Saccharomyces cerevisiae S288C: one gene and its partners. The gene in region 1 interacts genetically with each later gene. Each region holds a gene or a part of one and is shown in the gene's direction. Other genes may lie near its edges. The genes, in order: LIN1, NRG1, HSP30 and PRP3.

Region 1 (5,154 bases):
GTCCGAGCCTGTGGATATTACAATAAAGAAAAGCGACACCGCGGGCCATGATAGTGCTAACCATGTTATTGATGCAAGTGATGAAAAAAACGTGTCCCCAATGGGAGACGTTCCAACTGATACGAAAAATGAAGAAGCTAGCGTTCCTATAAATAGAGATGCTACTACCGAAGTCGTAGATAGGGCACTATTTGAGAAATTAAGATCGGAATTGCAAAGTTTGAAAGAATTGACGCACGAAAAGGCGCTTGAAGCCGGAGCTCACATAAAGGAATTAGAGACGGAGCTATGGCAGTTAAAATCCCAGAAGAATTCTGGGACAACGAAAGAAATAGATGAATTGGATTCCGTCAGACTGCAATCAAAATGTGAAATACTAGAGGCAGATAATCATTCCTTGGAAGATAAAGTTAATGAGCTAGAAGAGTTGGTGAATAGCAAATTCTTAGACATAGAGAATCTAAATGAAGTTATACAATTTCAGAACGAAAAAATTAAATCCTTAGAACTAGAGCCTAATTACAAAGAAAAACTTGAAGAACTACAGATAGAACATGAGAATTTGAGTAGAGAAAATGAAAGGTTGAAAAATGAAAGCAAACAACATAACGAAGATATAATCAATAATGTTGCGAATTACTCGTCACAGTTAGGCTCATTGATCAGTCATTGGAAAGAAAACAGAGCCAACTCTTCGTTTCTTGAATCTTCTTCTTCTTTGATATCTGTATCGGATGAAAATGGCGAGAAAACTGTCGGTGAACCCTATGGTGATCAAAGTCGTCACCACCGTGTAGTGATTAACAAACTAACGAATAGATTGGACGATTTGCTGGAGAGAAGTCAAGAGCTAACAATATCTAAAGAAAAACTATCTTCTGAATACCATGCTTTAAAGATGGAACACAGCTCATTAAGTCAAGATGTATTAGTAAAAGAGAATGAAATCAAAAAAATACAGAATGATTACAAAGAAAGTATCAGTTCTATGGACAGTGCAAGTAAGGCACTAATGGTTTCACAAAGAGAGCTAGAGAAGTACAAGAGTTTGAATAAAAAGTTAATCGACGAGTTAGATGAATTGAAGTTCAAAAATGGCGTCTGCAGTGAAAATTTCGAAAATGGTCTCAGAAGCACCGAGGAGAGTTCCAATAATGTAAAAAATAGCAACAGCATAAGAGAAAATCAATTCAACATCAAAATAAATGATCTGAAAGCGGAACTCTTCATCACTAATCAAGAAAGAGATGACTTGAAAAGTGAAGTGTTAGAGTTGAAAAAGAGATTATTGAATTTGGAAAATAACACCAAACAAGTTAATGAAGATGCTGACAGCGATCTACTATAAAAGACAATATGCGTAATGAAATTTCACTTTTCATGTGTAATAACAATAATAATAATAAACATTGATAATAAACATTAATAATATTAATAGTAATCATAACAATTATAATAATGATATAATATAATAATAACTGTACTCTTGACAAAAATTTATATATCATGGAAGAATAAATGAAGGAGAGAAATAGTAACGTGACAAATAGCTTATGCTAACGATATCAAACTAAATCTCAGGGACTACTAAACTGAAATATGCTCCCATTTGAAGCCTGTCTCTCATACATCAGCGCAGAATAGTCCGATTGCAGTATTTGGGCGGTGCTGGACGAAGATATGGGTCTGATTTCATTTACTTCACTTCGTAGCAATGTAAAGCTAAATTCATCCTCTATTTCATCTCCTGCTTGATCATTCCTCTGTATTAAAGGATCGTCATATAATGTGTCACTATACAGAAGACAGGTATCATTATTATTGCTTTCCACCCTCTTCGGCATGCATACTGGGTCGCCTAAGATAAACGGAAGAGATACTGTTGCAGATTTCTTAAAGGAATTGCTTAAGAGGTACGTTGAAGCTGTTCGTTTTAACCCAGGCTTAGGATAGTTTGTCCATGACATGATACAATTTACTGCCTTATCAAATTCATCTTTATTTATCCTTTTTACGGTCTTGTTATTTAACCCAAATTGAATGCTAACCCTTTCAGTTACAAAGTATTGGTGAAGAAAGTCTTGCGTACATGTGATCTTATTTGTATCTTCCTCCTCGATGGACATGTTGTCCAAGTTGCTGTATGTTCTTTTCTTCAGCAGTTTGTTTTCTTATACAAAAGATATATTTTATTTGGTATAGCGGAAAATAGCCGCCAAATATTGTGCGTCAAAGTTGAAGAAACATAAAGTTTAACACTACTGGTTTATGAAAGAAAAGACTACATTTGTAAGCCTACTCCAAATTGACCTTTGAATAAGTGTGGCTTACTCTATTAGCTAAAGGACATTATCACTCATCACCATGAACATTCAGTAGTAACATAAAAGTCCCTGCCTTGTTTGTGAATGAGGGTCCCTTCCTTTACATTCTACCAACATAGTCTCCTTTTCTTCCATTTATGCCCTAATAATCGATTTTAATTACTTAATGGGTAAGTTTCTCTGACTAGATTAAAAGAAGCGCATCCGAACAAATTGGAATGACCATGCTAAGCTGCCTTTTAAAGAACAAGGGAAAACTTTGATAAAAACACTCAAGTGCACCATATTGTTTGTAGAAGGATATGAAATATACGCAATACCCGAACAGCTCAAAACTGAAAAGAAATAGTGATCGACGTGAACACGACGAAAAGCTTAGCGATGAGTTACATAATCAAAGTACGATATATGAAGATGAAGAGCTAAGCAGGGCAGAATATGATTCTGATTCTGATTCTAGCGTTGAAGATTCTACAGATAATGAAAATAGTGGGAAAGAAATGGATGAAAAATCCTATGAAAAAAATGAAGATCACGTCGAAGACCATAGAAAGCGAAAGAAATCGAAAATTCAGCTTTTGGATATTGCAGAGTTCAAGAAAGAAAACTTAGCCGACTTAGATTATCAGATCGGTAATTCAGAGAGCAAGGTAGAAAAAGGTGTGAATATAGAGCCATTTAATATAGATGACGAAATAAAACATGGGGTATTCGATAAAGATGGGAATTATATTAAGACAGAAAACGCCACAGAAAATGATCAACAAGATAATGAGGAATGGATGAATGATGTCATAAATACAGAGGAGGTAAATCGCTTAGAAAAGGAACAAAGTGTCAAAACGCAGAATTCGAGACATTATATGGTCCACGAAGCATTAAATCTTTTGAAATTTTTTCTTGTTGATGAGAATGAAACAGTACTGGAATCCTTGGGCAGGTTAAACAAGCTGCGAAAAATTGCCATTTCAAAAAAGAACAAATCATTGAAATATGTTATTCACGGAATCGAGCTATTATCTGATTTGATCAATATACTAGAAAAAAAGGGATTCAGTGAAGTATATGAATATAACCGCTTAAAAGTTCAGGATGCTATAGAAGAGGAAATTTTCGATGACTCCTCCAGAATAGTTAACCATAAAACAAAGTTATGGGGCTTCAAGTGGTTGAACAAATTAGATGAATATCACGGCCTGTACACGAACTATGAAATGTCTTATTGGCAAAAATCCTACTTCAAAAACAGTGTTATAGTAAAATTTCACAGCGAACCAGATCGAGATGAAAACTGGATACATGTATCGTGTTTAAGTTTCATGTAAGATATAAAAGTTGAAATTATTCAAGAGAATTGCCTGCGAGACTATATAGTACTAAGTTTATTGTTTGGTCAGATAAATTGATGAATGTTGGATAGGAAATTTTTATCAATCATATCAAAAGATCTGAGTGAGCTGAGAAGGTTATCATCATATAACAAATAAACAGGACTATATTATTGGCAGACAAAAAATGAGTATCACAAGTGTACAAGGAAACCAGGACAGTAAACCTACTGTCGCAAATTTCCTCTATCCACCTGGCGCGTAAGAATCACCTGATAAAGATATCGTTGAAAGCATCGACCTAGACATTTTTAAGCTGCCATAAATTGGGCTGATAAATTTGTGATATTTTTCTCCAACTGTTTATGGTCTCTTATATACTTTGCGAAATTCTAGAAAAACGAAAAGGTGAAAAAAAGAAACCCGGAAAGGGCGAAAAAAAAAAGTACTTAGGGTTAGCACCACAATTATATAAAATGCTATGTATTTTACAATATAATCATGAGCCAAGAAATAAAAAAAGTTCACCCATTCTATTAGACAAGACGGGGTCCTTCTGATTATTGAAGAGTAGACATTCTGGGGCACTATTCAGACTGGAATGGCAGATAATCTGTTGTACTCTGCAAAACATGCCATACAATAATCTTGTAGTTTGGTATCGTTTATCCATAAATCAAAGATTTCATTCTGAGTGGTGATGCATTTGTCTCTTTCTGTTATTATGAATTTTCTGTAACTTCCCTGTACGAGTTCCTTTTCCGTATTTTGTAGAATTTTTAATTCCGTCAGCACTTGGTTTCGTTTAATTGCAATTTCTTGCCTTGTTCCTTTGTACTGGTATGCATTTTTGTCTTCGTCAAATCTCTTGAATACTGGATTTTCCTGGTCATTATCCATCATTTTTCTTGTAAGTAGGTTCAAATCAGGCACTGTCAAAGACCGATGCATGATTTGAAGTCCTCGCTGATCACCATTGGCATAGTTCTGAAATAGGGTTTCGGCTGACTTTACGGAGAAATATGAATGAATAGATTTACCAACAAAGAACAAATTGGTTACCGCAGATATCAAAAGACAATAGTATAAAGTTTTGTTAACTTTTGAAAAACATTTGAAGATAACCATTACCATTGCCAGTAAAACTTTCATGGTCTTAATGATGACACTGCTTAAATAAAACACGGTCAATTTTGTAAAAATTTTTGAAAGAGACAGAAAATCATAATTGATATATACAGGTTGCATGAAATCGCCGGCCTTTTCATCGTTTTCTATTCTTTCCTTTGGTAAAACACCAAGGAATCCACACAATTTAATAACATCACTCATTTTTTCTCTATCGTTGAATTTTTTTAGATATTCCCTCGTCTTTCTGTTAATTTCAGAATGTTCAAGTTTACAATATCTCAATGCCCAGTTGAGGTGTATTCTTTCAAAAAGCCATAGTTTTTCAACTTTGGTATTCAACTTATCAATAGATTCAACATAGTTGAAGTCAT
Region 2 (4,853 bases), on another chromosome or scaffold:
ATCGCTGAAATTTGTCATGTCAAAATTGCTACTGGGGGAGAAGAATATATATGGAAGTAATTATTATTTACGTTGCTGAAATGGCAGGTTAGACGCATGTTTTGCAAAATAAGTGGTTTTGAAAAGAATTGATACTAGGAATCGGTGCAATACCTTCTACCTTTCTTAATAGGTATTCTTGAATAATCTACCTCACTTTCTGTCCCAGATACGAGATGTCGAGCGCCTCGAAAATAGATATCGTTTATTACGTTAGATACGGAAAGGTCTACGTGTCATAATAAATTGCATCTGGATTGCGATTTTGGGTCATGCCTAACTGGGAAAATATTTACATCTCCATGTTCTCATTCTGCCTTTGCTTTCCTTCAAAACATGGTTTTCAATTCAACCTAGGGTCTACCGCGGAACCATATGTACGCCGTAAATGCGAGTGTTCTTGAAAGGTAGTAATGTGTTCCCTCTCAATATGTAAGTCCTTCAAGAGTATGCACTTGCAGTTGCACTGTTTCGGGTAATTATCCGTCATTAAGAAAAAGATGCTTCCACTTTCTCGTGTTTTTACGCACAATCGTGCCATTTAACCGGAAATAGACTCCATTGCATTGATTGCTCTCATAAAAATTATAGCCCGCGTTTGATACTTGTTTAAAATAGGTGTCGACAAAGTTAGTTTCTGTCTTCCATTTAGTTTTTACAATATGACACGTCAAATAAATCTTTTCGATTTAGTTAAAAGAGTTACCTGGCGATAGCCTTCTGGTAAAACACCTATTCATAAAACAATCTTAAAAAACCAAAAAATTACCAAACAACTATGTAGGACATATTTTTACAGTTCATAAAAACGCTTCGAGCTGCCGATATCGGTATCAAACACCAAAATATACATAGTGCTGGTTTAAGCCAGAATATCTTGGTGAAGCTGCGCCTATATGCCTTGTATTTAAAACAAGTCACGAAAAGCTATTGCCAAAGGAACATAAAAACTCGTATCTATGTTATATTATAAAAAAGATATAATATTTATATATTATTATTAATATTATTTTTTAGTTCCGAAAGGAGAAACTTATAATTTTTATATCATTATTTATTATTATTTTTAATTTCAACTCCTTTTATACCTATTACTGCATGTGGAGAAAAGATTAAACCAGGCGAGGCAATTTACACTTATTCATTGAGATAAGATGAAAGAGCCACGCCTCGTTACATTTAGGCTACATCATATAACAACTAGTCCCAGCCTCCCCCCTTCCCCACCTTGGAGTACTTTTCTCCAGAAATAGAAAGCTAAGAATCAAAATCGCACCATTACGTATGAGCTCATTTGCCGTCTTTTCCCCGACAATCCGGCACAAAATCTGGCTACCCGTCGTATGTATGGTAGACGATATTATGTACTCTAGTAATGCTATGTACGAATAGTTTCAGACGGGCACAGGGACCTAGAACGCCAAGCGCAAAAAAAAGCTGATAGGAATTCGACGTCACGAACCCTTGGAGTAAAAGAAAACTAAAATATACGAACTTCGCGGAAAATAAAAAACTTTTCCTTCAGTTGTTCCTCGTTCGAAACAGTAATCTACACGGACCGTTGCTTATTTTTAGCCAGATTCTAGTTAAATAAAAAAAAAAGAAATAAAATTAAAAAAAAATTAAACTGTGGCAGATAAGCCTTTCTAATCGAGGCAGTGTGTTTCTTTTGACTTCACCGTTTGTCTTCGCATAGTTCCCCTAAATATTCTAACTAGAAAAATCGCTAGTATTTTTCTACTTATAAGTTGATTTTCCGCATATTTGTCTTTGAAACGTTTGAGACAGGGAAAACTCTGTTTTCTAAAAGAGGAAAAAGCAAAATGAAGTATTGGCTTGGTTGCGGTCAACACCCTCAGGGAAAGCCAAGAAATGCTTTTTACTGTTTAGCAGTGAAAAGGCCGCACCGGAAAAGAAGGGAAAAATTCATTGGGTCTAGATTTTTCTTATCGGTAAAAGACTATGGCCTCTTGAGGACCCTTAAGCGTGAAACGAAACGCGTTGAGCGCGCAGAGGGGCTTCGCCGCCGGTCAGGGTGTTTGGGGTGTTTTTTCTTTTAATTATTCTCTTGGCAGTGTCATCTTTCTACAGTCTGGCTGCAGGCTCCTTTTCCGTTATTCATATATAAGGAAGAGAACTTTCCAAACCCAAATTAAAAAAAATTTGGTTCCCATCTCTTAACTAAAAGAAATTATATTACTCCACCTCGTTTACAGTTTTTTGATGCTATAAGGGAATTCTGCAGCTTTTGAAAGTAAAAATCATATCGTATACGATTCTGCAAAGTATTATTGTACTGTAATTCCTACCATTACGGCGCCTTTTTCTACCATTCACCTTTCTTGGATTGTTCCTCTCGACCAGCATATTACTACCCTTCGCAAACTTTCAGGCAATGTTTTACCCATATAACTATAGTAACCTCAATGTTTCTACTATGCCCGCACTGCCGGGAATCTCCGCATTTGATGGAATGCAAGATGAAGAAAACGTTGAAATAAGCCCGGAAAGAAAATATCAGACGCTACTACCAGTTCTAACTAATTCTCATGTGGTAGAGAATGAACTAAAACACAAATTAAATAAGACTGCTTTTGATTTCCGATACCAAACCAAATCAGAAAATGGCTCTGAAAAGTGGGAGCCAAAATACTTAATAACGCCTAATTTACAAACAAGAAGCGTCTCTTTTGACAATTCATCGGTACAATATAATTCAGATTCATCCGAAAAAAGCTCGCTATCACAACTAACTTGTAATTCATCAATAATACAACAGCCTGAGAACGGAATAGTTTCTAATGATGCATATAATAAGATGGCAAATAGTAGATACTCTCTGAAAACGCGGAAGCAAAGAACAGATCCAAGAAATACGTTATCAGATGAGGAAGACCTTGAACAAAGGCGCAAATACATTTGCAAAATTTGCGCAAGAGGATTCACTACATCGGGTCATTTAGCAAGGCATAATAGAATTCATACGGGCGAAAAAAATCATTGTTGTCCGTATAAGGGATGCACGCAGCGATTCAGTCGACATGATAATTGCTTGCAACACTATAGAACACATTTGAAAAAGGGACAATAATTGACGGTATACCCGTGTTTTTCTCATTAGCAGTACTACTATTCCGCACTTTACATCATTTTTTATAAACTCATGCATACATACATTGTACTTCAAAAGATTTTTTTTTTTTTTTGGCATCATAAATCACTTTCAGATCAGTTTCCTTTCAAACGCGCGGCATTAAGAAAACTTTTAATGTCAAAAAAACGGAAGCAAAAACCCCTCCCTTCCGCTTAAGATCATGTCTGGACATTTTAGTTGTAAGGCTGCGCCTCGGTAGCAAGTAGTGCTGCAACAAGGCTATTATGCCACCTAAACAGACCACTTTTGCTTAATACGAGACTGTGACTACCTCCTGACTTCCTGTCATAACAAAAAAACAGACGTCGCTGCATTAACATTTACAACCCCAAACCTTCTTCATTCATTGCTTTTCTTTTAGAAACTGTGGCTTTTTGACATTTGCAGTTTGCATAGTTACTTTTTGATCACTAACAACGATATATTATCGTTGAACAATTTACTACGCAAAACAGTTCACGTGATGTACGTCAGATAATTCACTGAAGGTACTACCTTTCGAGCATCTCTTACAGCAATGGTAACAGCTCATTGAAGAAGAAAAAAATAAGACAAATTTTTTTAGAGCTGCAAGCGTTTTACTAGGCATCAGAACTGTCTCCGAACAATAGTATAGTTAATTATTATACTTCAACCCTAGAAGAAATACCCGAAGATGTAAGGATGTTTTTGTTCCTATAAGCTTTTTTTTTTCACAAAATTTTCATCCACTCTACGTCTTCCATACGGTCATATAAAAGGTGCCATATCCTCGGCCAAGACAAAAGGCTTCAGCTCCATATCTTTTGAAATCATGTAAACGCATGGGGCTCAAGTACTGAGCAAAGTAGGAGAAAGGATATTGAACATGTTCAGAAGAACGTGGTATCTTTTTCCTTATTATACATTCTCTTGGCGAGTGATCGAAAATATATATGATGATATCCTATAACAACAACAACATGAATTTCTTCGTCCGAATCCTTTATAGGTGGAAACAAACTTTGACAATAGCTTTTTAACACTGATAATATATTTTCGCGTCATTCTTGCTGATTTTCTTTTTTCTTATTCTTATTGTGCTTCATCCTCCATCTTCAATGGCGGTAACGTAAATCAGAGTAGCTTTCATTTTCTTTATTTCTGTTTCTGTTTCGCGTCGGGATAACAAAGCGTACTTACTAATGGCTATTATTTTTGCTAATGACACAAAATCCTGTTACCAATTTCCAAGAAGAAAGGCGGATAACAGGGAAAAATTTGAATCTGTGTATCTGCAGTACAAATATTATATATTGGAAGAACACGCACTTATATCTTCTTCATGTTTGTCATTTTATTAGAAACTTTACTATTGAAAATAGCGAATCAACAACAGCTAACAAACGACTAGGTCTCTAAGAGAAAAAATCTTTTTCTTTTCACAACATGGAGCAAATATTATATAATCAAAGCCTTAAAATTTCTACCCTTTCTACTTTTCAAGGTTTAAAGTTTCTAAAGGTCCTCATTTTTTCTATTTTCCAACAACTATTTTATAACCCAGTTATACAATTATTCGGAACGAAAGCCTCAATAATGGAATCTGATTCCACTACTCTGCTCGAAAGTAGTTGGAGTACTGAGCGAAACTTTCTCAATATGAATTCAGATTCCATATCTGCTACCAAGAATGTTTTTA
Region 3 (5,239 bases), on another chromosome or scaffold:
TCATCATTTGCGTTATGCCAAGTCATATCTGCGTACCACTGGGGTAGATTCTCTGAAAAGCATGGCAGAAAAATAACATTGACTTGCGGGCTTATAGGAACATCTGTATCATTGTTAATACTGGGATTTTCACGCAATTTCTATCAGGCTTTGGTGGCAAGAAGTTTAATGGGATTGCTAAATGGTAACGTCGGCGTTATTAGAACCATTATTGGTGAAATAGCAACTGAAAGAAAACATCAGGCTTTAGCTTTCAGTACTATGCCTTTATTATTTCAATTTGGTGCCGTTGTTGGGCCTATGATCGGTGGGTTTCTTGTATTTAGAGATGGAACAATGAATGAAGTGCCACTATGGTTTCCACATTTTGCAAAAAGAATAATTAGGTCATATCCGTACGCCTTGCCAAACGTGGTAGTGTGCATGTTTTTGATGTTTGGTTTAACTAATGCAACATTGTTTTTGGAAGAAACACATCCTGCTTTTAAAGATAGAAGAGATTACGGTTTAGAGGTCGGTGATTTTATTAAGAAGAATATATTTGGTATACAGCCGAAAAGAAGACCCTGGCAAAAGCGCATTCAGGATGATTCGGAAAACATTCACCACCGTAATGAGAATGTGAACAGCATTCGAGGACAAGATAGTGAAGAGGATGAAAATAGTCCCCTAGTGAATACTACCAATGACGATGATACTGAAAGCATACAATCGATTGATCCTATTTTAACAAGAAGACAGTCTGTAGGCCTGATTAGGACATATTCTCTGCATGAACCAACAGACGCTGTGCATGCCAATATAGATACAGCTCCAGACGGTTGTAAAGAAAGTAGTATATTTCATCACGTTTTTCATACAAAAGTATTTTACCCTATATCGGTGAATTTTATTATGGCTTTACATTTGATTGTATACAACGAATTTTTGCCTGTTTTTTTAGCTTATGATTTAGCCGTAGATCCAGAAAATCCAAAGAAGCTGGCTTCAAAATTTCCGTGGAAAATATCTGGCGGTATAGGTTATGAACCAGAACAAACCGGTACTCTTTTGTCGACAACAGGTATCTTTGGTTGTTTTGTGGTTATTTTCATTTTTCCCATAGTTGATCGAAATTTCGATTGTTTAACAATTTTCAGAACTTTAGTCAAGCTGTACCCTATTATGTACGTTATGGTTCCTTACGTTGTTTTTCTACAGAATGAACGGATTCCTAGCTGGTATACTGTCGTCTACTTGTACATAATCACAGGGATAAAAACATTTTGTGGCGCTTTAACGTCACCACAAATTATGTTATTAATTCATAATTCGAGTCCCTTGAGTTGTAGATCAGTCATCAATGGCGCCACCATTAGTATTTCTGCCTCTGCTCGTTTCATAGGTCCCTTAGTATGGGGCTATATTATGTCTTGGTCCCAGCAAAATGACGTCGCCTGGGTCAGTTGGTGGTCGTTAAGTCTTTTTTGTATGGTAGCTCTTTATCAAAGTTATAAGATAGCACCAATTGATGATAACGAAAATGAGCTTCATGGACAGGGTAGTGAAGATGCCTACAATTCGCAGTCACAGTCTTCTGATTTAAGAATGGCTCATCGATCTAGTTTAAGCAGCTTAAGTAACCAACGCTGTACCACATGAGAAATTTTTTTTCAGAAGGCTTGCAAAAAGGATATCTAATAAAAAAAAAAATGAACTCCAGTAGATTTTAGATATCAACCATAACTGGCGAAAATTTGCACCTTTTTGATGAGAGCATGTTATGTCAAGGCATGGCCGCGTGATGGCATTGCACTCAAGATAGTTTCCGGAATTATTATACTCCTTATGTAAATTTCAATCCGTTTATGTAATTATATCCAGGAACTCAATTTGACCAGACAAGTAATGGCGCCCATTTTGAGCGAGAGAACCCATTTTTCTATACAAATTTCACTAGAGCACGGCCGTTACATTTAGTAATAGCCAATAAGGGTTTTTTATCGATTAGTGTTCCCTGCGCTCCTTAACATCATACAACCGAGTACTTGACATGGAGATAGTAGGCAAGTAAACCAAAGTCCTTTCTTCAAAAGTAGAAAACTTGAGCACTTATTTCCTGCGCATGTCATATGTTAATTTTCCTCAACTGCGCTGAATACGTCCTGTCAATTCAAATATATCACGTTGTGAGCAGCCCTGAAGAAGAAAACCTCAACAGCAGTATTACTATTACAATCAAACAACTTTAGTGCCGCGTGATACCGGGGGTTGAAGTGGGTGCATTGAGCCGTATTCTTCTTCCCCGTAAGAAAGTTGTGTATCCTTTTTACTGCGTTGTAATAGCTTCTGAAAACCTAAAAAATGAACGCTATGTAGCTCATATCCGTTTTGCATAAGTAAGAATAACTACTTGTGCAGGGTGCCGAAAGGGATGGAAAACCGCTGCAGCAACCCTTGTTACATACAGTCGGATCCATCTGACTTACTTTCCTTGCGTCTCCCTGCGCGATTTTGTTGGCCATTTTCCAGATCCTCTAGAATTTTTCAAGGGTCGAGCCGTAGGAGGATTCTCTCAGAAGGCAAAAACGCATCGAAAGCGTGCTTTGTAAGAATATTTGGTATGGCTAAAGTAAGCAAAGCCATATCCCGATCCCGATCCCGACTCTTATTCCGATCCCTTCCGCCACATCCTGCATGTTTATTCGAATACCAAATTAGCTCATCTTCGTTATTTCATCATCCCTTTCTGCTATGGCAAGGACAAGTTTTTTTCTAGCATCTCATCGAAAACTTTCCTCTCCCTAATTGGCCAAAGTTTTCATATTCATCATCAGTTAGAAAGTATAATATCAATCCCTTACCTCATTACAAGTTGTATCACACTAAAAAAATCATATATAAGTCTGTGAGAGTCTTCAATTATTTAGCGTAACACCTATTCACTTTCTAATCTTGTTTCTTGTTTTTACATTCTGCAATACAACACAACAACAAATATTAACTCAATTATTATTATTTATAATTACAAAAACAAAACAACAAGTTTGAGACTTTAATATCTTTTGATTACTAAAAACAACAAATTTCAAATGAACGATACGCTATCAAGCTTTTTAAATCGTAACGAGGCTTTAGGGCTTAATCCACCACATGGCCTGGATATGCACATTACCAAGAGAGGTTCGGATTGGTTATGGGCAGTGTTTGCAGTCTTTGGCTTTATATTGCTATGCTATGTTGTGATGTTCTTCATTGCGGAGAACAAGGGCTCCAGATTGACTAGATATGCCTTAGCTCCTGCATTTTTGATCACTTTCTTTGAATTTTTTGCTTTCTTCACTTATGCTTCTGATTTAGGTTGGACTGGTGTTCAAGCTGAATTTAACCACGTCAAGGTTAGCAAGTCTATCACAGGTGAAGTTCCCGGTATTAGACAAATCTTTTACTCGAAATATATTGCCTGGTTCTTGTCCTGGCCATGCCTTTTATTTTTAATCGAGTTAGCCGCTAGTACTACTGGTGAGAATGACGACATTTCCGCCTTGGATATGGTACATTCGCTGTTAATTCAAATCGTGGGTACCTTATTCTGGGTTGTTTCGCTATTAGTTGGTTCATTGATCAAGTCCACCTACAAGTGGGGTTATTACACCATTGGTGCTGTCGCTATGTTGGTTACCCAAGGTGTGATATGCCAACGTCAATTCTTCAATTTGAAAACTAGAGGGTTCAATGCACTTATGCTGTGTACCTGCATGGTAATCGTTTGGTTGTACTTTATCTGTTGGGGTCTAAGTGATGGTGGTAACCGTATTCAACCAGACGGTGAGGCTATCTTTTATGGTGTTTTGGATTTATGTGTATTTGCCATTTATCCATGTTACTTGCTAATTGCAGTCAGCCGTGATGGCAAATTGCCAAGGCTATCTTTGACAGGAGGATTCTCTCATCACCATGCTACGGACGATGTGGAAGATGCGGCTCCTGAAACAAAAGAAGCTGTTCCAGAGAGCCCAAGAGCATCTGGAGAGACTGCAATCCACGAACCCGAACCTGAAGCAGAGCAAGCTGTCGAAGATACTGCTTAGAGCAGCTTGAGATTGTCTTAATCATTCTTTGCTTAACACATTTCAAAACATCAGTTTTCTTCTTTTAATGTCACTAATGAAACTTAATATTTAATAATCTAATTTTAATTTCTTTATGAAATATGCAAAATAAATTATATACACAAACACAATAATTAATAATCTAATCTCATTTTTCCAAAATCAAGAAATGTTCTTACTGCTTCCATGCCTGAATAGTCTAATCGATAGTAGGCCATTTCAATTCTTTTTAGTTATATGGAGACGCAAACACCACTTTATTTTAGCGTACCCTACCAAAATTAAACGATAATATGGTATTTTTATTCTCATTTGTTACACTCTATTCTGTATCACTGGATACATTCGCGGTAACTTGTTTTATAAAGTGAGATGGGATTTATGACCATTAGATGCATATAAAAGCTTCCAAATAATAATAAGATATTGTGACTTTTGGTGAACTAGATACGCTTTGAAATTCTTCATTTGTAATGAAGCAGGATTCACATTCAATATTTTGTAGCTTACAATTGTGAATGTTGCGTTTTCCTACTTTTTCCTTTCATTTTTCAAAGCATCGAGCATTTTTTTCATTTCTTCCAAACTCATCCTTTGCCTTTCAGGATTGATAATACTATTGTGTCTTTCCGTACTTTCTACCAAGTTCAATAACTCGCATATGTTTTCTCTTTGAGATAATAACTGAAATGCTGTTAAATTTTTCAGCGTTACATTGTTGTAAGCTCTTTCAGGATTCATTGAGCTGATTGTGTTGTTCTGTGACATACGATATACTGATACTCTGTTCTAAATAACACAATCCTTTCGTTCTATCATAAAATTCAATGTTATAGGCTCATTTTGTGCATCTTATGTGGCGGATTAATTTTTTTTTTTTCAAAAAATATCTCGCGAAGTGCATGAGTTCTGACTATTTTTTAAATGCGATGATATCATTGATAGGGTGAAGATAGTCTTCAACAAACTTAGTAAGGGGCACCAAAGCGTCATGGACATCTTGAAACTGTCAGATTTTATTGGAAATACTTTAATAGTTTCCCTTACAGAAGATCGTATTTTAGTTGGAAGCTTGGTTGCTGTAGATGCCCAAATGAATTTGCTATTAGATCATGTTGAGGAACGTATGGGCTCCAGTAGTAGAATGA
Region 4 (5,849 bases), on another chromosome or scaffold:
CTGCAGATTATACAATGGAGGAATATTATGACGACGAAAGTGGCTTTACCTCGGACAACAATGCCGACTACTTCTCCGGGAATAGCTATTCGAGTAGGCGAGAGGGCAGTGCTAGTCCCGGCAGGTATTCTTCTCCACCTCCTGCCTCTAAAAGAAACATCAAAATAGGTAAGATGTTTAAGATTTCTGAAAATGGTAAAATTGTAAGGGAAGACTATCCTACTACACCCACCGATATCAATGACGCTCTTGTGATTAGTAGGGCGTATGCCAATTGGAGACAACTATGGATCAAGAAGAAAAATCAGATAGATCATCGATTAGAACAAAAGCGCGATTTCTTCAATTACCCAACAATACTGTTTCCTCCAAACAAAAAAAAGTCGTCTGAGGGCGCTACTCCCACAATAAAATTCAATCCTCCCATAGAAGACGGCTTTACGCCTTTGACTAAGTCTCAAAAGCGGAAAGAGCGTGTTTTGAGCGAAAAGGTTGGGTTCCCGAACACTCCTCGAACGATATTGTGCCACATCAGCGGCAGGAAACATACTTGGGTAGCACTAGATTGGGCGCTACGAACTTTGATTCAAAATACAGACCACATTGTTGTGTTGGCAAACCTGCCCCGCCTGACTAAGAATAATTTCGAAGACAATGATTCGATGAGTGAGCGAAAAAGAATGCTAATGATGATGGATGATAGCAGGAGTGTTAGCTCAGCAAGAAGATCACGATCCAGATCGAGATCACGATCCATATGTACAAGAAGGGCACTTTCTCTGGGGCCTGAGGAATCTGACAACAAATTAAAGCACCAAAATTTTATCGAGTGGACATCTGGTTATACGCAGAACGAAATAGAACGTAAATTGCAAGATCTTTTTGATTATGTTACACTCATAATTCCGCAAGATCGTTCTGTCAAGGTCACTGTCGAGATCCTAATTGGCAAGACTAAAAAAACGCTTCTTGAGGCAATAAACATCTATTTACCTGATTTCTTTGTATCTAGCACTTTGAGGTGGGAGAGAACAGACAGCTTAGTTCGTTGGAAATCGAACTTTCTGACAGATAAACTGTGTACTAATTTTCCGATTCCAACGTTTATTGTACCGGCAAAGAGAATGTTCGATTTGGAAATAGATTTGCAAAAAGAGTTTAAAGAACCGGAGGTAACGAAACAAAAAAATACTAGCGGTCCAAAGCCTGGGTTCAGCCATTCTAAATCAGCAGATGCTAGCATTCCAACTATCTCAAATATCAAACGGAAGCAAGATAACGATTATTCTATAGATTCACTATGTTATGCCCCAGAAGCTAATGGTGCTAACAATAGTAGCCGAGAGGAAGCATCTGATGATGAGCTTAACGCTTTTAAGGATGATGAGAATGATGTGATGTCCGTGAAATCCTTAACCTCTAACATTTCGGTAAAGGAAAAGTTATGTACCATGGCAAGGAAACGTAGAAAGAGTATGGCTCAGCAGTTAAATGACGCCGATCATGATTCATCAATACCACCGGGACAGAGGCATTTGAAAAAACTGAATATTATTTTGGAATCTTCATTAAAGTTTTCATTAGAAATCGATAGCATCACTGATAGTATTGAAAATGGGGATGTAGACGAAAAGAGAGCACACTCTATGGAGTCGGGCTTTGAAGAACTGAAAAGAGTCATCACAGGTGGTGCTCCTCCAAGGCATGTGGCTACCCCGCAGAGGTCCATGCTTGATGTTTTGGACAATCCAAGTTCATCTAGATCCAAATCCAAGTCAAGATCAAGCTCTAAGTCAAGGATAAGAGACAAATCAAAACCAAGCTCTCCTACTGCTACCGATATAAACTCAAGTGCGAGTGCGTCGAGATCACGTTCTCCGCAAATCAAGTTCGCGTCGAGTGTCAAGAATGTAGATGGTAATGCTGCACTGGGTGCTATTAAATCTAGGCACTCGCTAGACAGCCCAGGGGACCAGCAACAACAACATCATCATCACCATCATCGTGACACAGATCAGTTGTCCGTTCCAGGCCTTCCCCATTTGGCACCTTCAAAGTCATATAGTGTGAGTTCTGGTAATAAGGATTCATCTTTGAGGAAAGTCAGTAGCTCATCTTCGCTCAGAAAAGTAAAATCTAATGATTCGAACTCTGGTAAACGTATTAAAAAACCGGTCGTAACTTCAGCACACTTGAAACCAAGCTCAGGCGGTGGTGGTTTATTCTCTTTTTTTAAGAGTAAATCGAGATCCCCGTCATCTTTCAGAAAGGAAGATGAGAGTAAAAATACGCCTAAGCGTGGCGGATTGTTTGGGTTCGGAAGGCTGTAGTTGGTCTTACGTTCTTATGTGTTTATTCGATATAATTCTATAACATTTTTATGACTTTGTGCCTTTATGCATAACATGTATTGTACATATTAATCGACAAAAATGACATTCAATACCCTACACTAGTAATTAATAATGCTGCAATTCCATCATCGCATTCTCACCTAAAAGAAATGTGGACAGTGTTCATTATAAGCTGGGTTCCTATTCGTATTTCCGGCAATAATGCGTGCTAAGTGAGTTTGTAAAATCGTTAAAATGAGAATCAATGTACAAGGTTAGTATCACGTCAATTCTTTCAAAGCTTTATATTATTAGGTATACCTCCTTTGAAAGTAGCACCAGTCAAGATAATGGATCTTTATCCATAGTTATTGCAATTACTTTCAAAGCAATGCGGTTGTTATTGTTGCAAAAATATTGCAATATTAACTTCTTAGGAATGGTGAATTGAATTGTGTCGTAACATACGCTGTAACCCTTGTCTTTTGGGTTTAGAATGCGGAAATGAAAAACGTATAGAACATGATGAATCTACGAAGTGCAAGGTCCACGAAACAAGACAGTATCGTTGCAATTCAGTGAAATCCTTAAAATGGTTCAAATATAGATACTGGCTATCTTTTTCATTATATTGGCTTCTTTGACCTGTCACAATTATAGGGTTCAACAGTTATCTTTGGAGGAAGAAGCTGCTCATTGATGAGAAACAGGATTTATGGAAGAGAAGTCACATTCGTGAAAGGCACATTCATCAAGAAATTTTATTTTTTCTTTTGTGCTTCCCAAATTTACTGCCATACTACTCCATTTTTTGACAGCTTATTCATTTAAGAATACGACCTAACAATAGTATTCCGGAACTTTTTAACAATATCAATGACGACTAAGAGAAAATGACAACTGCAGGGAACAGATTTTAGATTTGAAAAAGCCATGACATGATACTACTATGTTCTAGATGTGTTTTATCTCCTTTTCGGTAGCATTTTTTTGGTAATTATCTAGTACGAGAGGTGACAAAATCTGTTGTTCTCCTTTAGGTTGTCGTAGTCAACTTTTTTTGTAGGAAAATTCTTGCAAGTACCCTGAAGTTATGTATGATGCAAGTCTATTGATTGTAATCAATAAGTTTTTCTAGCTCTGGCTTGCTATGTAACGTAGTGAACAATCAATGTTATCGAAAAAGTTTAGGTAAAATTCTCGAAAATGAATGCTGATAATTACTTTTTCTTCACTCCCCAATTTTGGATAATACTTGGCAGCTATATTCGCGAAACAGGAAGGTTAAAAACTGCTTCTCCAATGAAACAGTAGTTAACATATCCATTTAGCTAGAGATACTGCTTTTGGCCTCTGGACAGGCACTGTGAATTGTTCTTATATGTTCTAAAGTAAAGAGCCATGACTCAAAGAAAGTTTCTTGACTATGTTAATTTTTTTAGCATACAAATTTTAATATTATTCACATCTGCGTTTTTCTGACTGGATCCCGCACTGATCAATAACAAGAAATAGTCCTAGTAAAGTATTAGAATGCCAGATGACGTAAAACAATCAAAAAGACTCACAGAAAACATCAGGCGATCTATTGAATTGGCTTGAAAAAATGCCCCCAAGAAATACCTATGAAAAAGGTAATCCGAAACGCCAAAATAGTCCATATTATAAGCCAAGTTTCTTACGGCGTGAAGAAACTACCAATGATGAGGAGAAGTTTCAGGGCCATGGTCTGAAAACCGAACTTCACTCAGCGTTAAAGTCTTCAAATTTGAATCTTATCCGAAGAACTTATCAAACTGGTGAAAATCCCTATCTTAGTGATCCACACGATCGAGGCTCATCGAGCAGATTTAACAGGCGTTATGAACGGGGTCTGAAGTTTTACCAAAAGGGAGAAATCAGTAAAAGAATTGCCCAAGAAAGAACATTACAAAAACAGCAGGAGGAGGAAGAATTAAAAAGAAAGTTAAAACAAGAAGAAGACGAGAAAGATAAAAGAAAATTAATTGAGTCAGGTGATTTACCCAATTTAGAGTTACATGAGGATAAGTTCCTATTAGATTTGTCAAAGTTCAAGATATACTATGATAATAATCATGGCTATGAATGGTGGGACACGGCTTATTTAGATGAAAAGGGTGAGTTGATGGAAAAATATGACATGAATGGCACATCGCCTGCCGAAGAAAAGCTAGCAGAAGATATTGATGAAGTAGACGATGATGATGATGATGAGCACCCATCTATAAGATATGTAGCACATCCCTTACCTGAAAAGATCAACGAGGCAAAAGTATCAATCAAAGCATATCTAACGCAACATGAAAGGAAAAGATTAAGGAGAAATAGAAGGAAAATGGCAAGAGAAGCACGGGAGATAAAAATTAAGTTAGGACTATTACCTAAGCCTGAACCGAAAGTTAAACTAAGCAACATGATGAGTGTTTTCGAGAATGATCAAAACATAACGGACCCAACTGCCTGGGAAAAAGTAGTGAAAGACCAAGTGGACCTCAGGAAGAGAAAACATCTGGAAGAAAACGAAAGAAGACATGAAGATGCTATTAAAAGAAGGAAAGAAGCAGTCAATATGAACGTTGAAAAGCCGACAGTATACCATTGTAAGGTGTTCCAGTTCAAAAACTTACAGAACCCAAAAATAAGATTCAAGTTGAAAATGAATAGTAAAGAACTATCACTAAAGGGTTTATGCCTCCGTATACGTGATGACGGACCAGGAATAATTATAGTCGTGGGTAACGAAAAATCATGCAAATTTTATGAGAATTTGGTGATGAAGAGGATAAAATGGAATGAAGATTTTGAGTTGCACACAAACACTGGGGATATAAAAATGGACATGCATAATAATTCAATATCAAAAACTTGGGAAGGCTATTTACAAGATTGTAAATTCAAAGGCTGGTTTATGAAAGTATGCAATGATCAGGATTCTTTATTACGTACGCTGGGTCAGTTTGATTCAGAGCATTTTTATTCACCTGTTCAAACGTGATATCGGTGTCTACAAAATGATACGCTTTGTTTCATATTAAATATTATTTTACTGTATGTCGCCCAGAATAATGATTTTTTTAGCACAAAAACATTCCAAAATATAAAAAGAAAATGATTTTATATGATAGATGTACTTCAAGGAAATCGACAATTAAAAGAATCATTCTTCGTAATGAATATATGAGCATATGTCTATAAATCAACAGTAAATATACAAACTCTTTATCCTTTTCTTGGTTTTAGGTATTTACCGATGTTTTGAGATGATATCAGCCAAATCTCAAACCTTCCCTGTCAAGCACTTGCCTGTCAAATTGGATCAAATAAACGGTTCGTTGACTATGTCCGCCTTGGGGCATTCGATGTGCTGTCACGCCACATGGAAATCCAGCATTGAAAAGGAATCCTTTGATAATGCCGCAAACGAAGTACTCACAAGAAACGTTCTCACCTGGGATAAATTGGGTTAAAGTGGGGAAGTTATCTACTATCATATAT

The links.
Region 2: mutations in LIN1 (region 1) and NRG1 together harm fitness more than expected from each alone (negative genetic interaction), as found in Saccharomyces cerevisiae (2 studies listed by BioGRID).
Region 3: mutations in LIN1 (region 1) and HSP30 together harm fitness more than expected from each alone (negative genetic interaction), as found in Saccharomyces cerevisiae (2 studies listed by BioGRID).
Region 4: mutations in LIN1 (region 1) and PRP3 together harm fitness more than expected from each alone (negative genetic interaction), as found in Saccharomyces cerevisiae (2 studies listed by BioGRID).

The regions. Positions count from the first base shown.
Region 1 is NC_001140.6:409,879-415,032, reverse strand, and holds LIN1 (U5 snRNP complex subunit LIN1), read left to right. Parts: upstream 1-2,626; coding exon 2,627-3,649; downstream 3,650-5,154. Other genes in the region: KEL1 (Kel1p), read left to right, coding at 1-1,348; REC104 (Rec104p), read right to left, coding at 1,578-2,126; LAM1 (Lam1p), read right to left, coding at 4,244-5,154.
Region 2 is NC_001136.10:540,951-545,803, reverse strand, and holds NRG1 (transcriptional regulator NRG1), read left to right. Parts: upstream 1-2,434; coding exon 2,435-3,130; downstream 3,131-4,853. Other genes in the region: YDR042C (uncharacterized protein), read left to right, coding at 4,601-4,853. UniProt on the Saccharomyces cerevisiae protein: Transcriptional repressor involved in regulation of glucose repression. Binds to UAS-1 in the STA1 promoter.
Region 3 is NC_001135.5:154,940-160,178, reverse strand, and holds HSP30 (Hsp30p), read left to right. Parts: upstream 1-3,071; coding exon 3,072-4,070; downstream 4,071-5,239. Other genes in the region: YCR023C (uncharacterized protein), read left to right, coding at 1-1,641; YCR022C (uncharacterized protein), read left to right, coding at 2,414-2,758; HTL1 (Htl1p), read right to left, coding at 4,623-4,859; MAK31 (Mak31p), read left to right, coding at 5,083-5,239. UniProt on the Saccharomyces cerevisiae protein: Probably cooperates with other heat shock proteins in the translocation of polypeptides through membranes. It may counteract the altering effect of heat shock on the plasma membrane.
Region 4 is NC_001136.10:1,403,945-1,409,793, reverse strand, and holds PRP3 (U4/U6-U5 snRNP complex subunit PRP3), read left to right. Parts: upstream 1-3,939; coding exon 3,940-5,349; downstream 5,350-5,849. Other genes in the region: JIP4 (Jip4p), read left to right, coding at 1-2,330; TRAPP subunit TRS31, read right to left, coding at 5,621-5,849.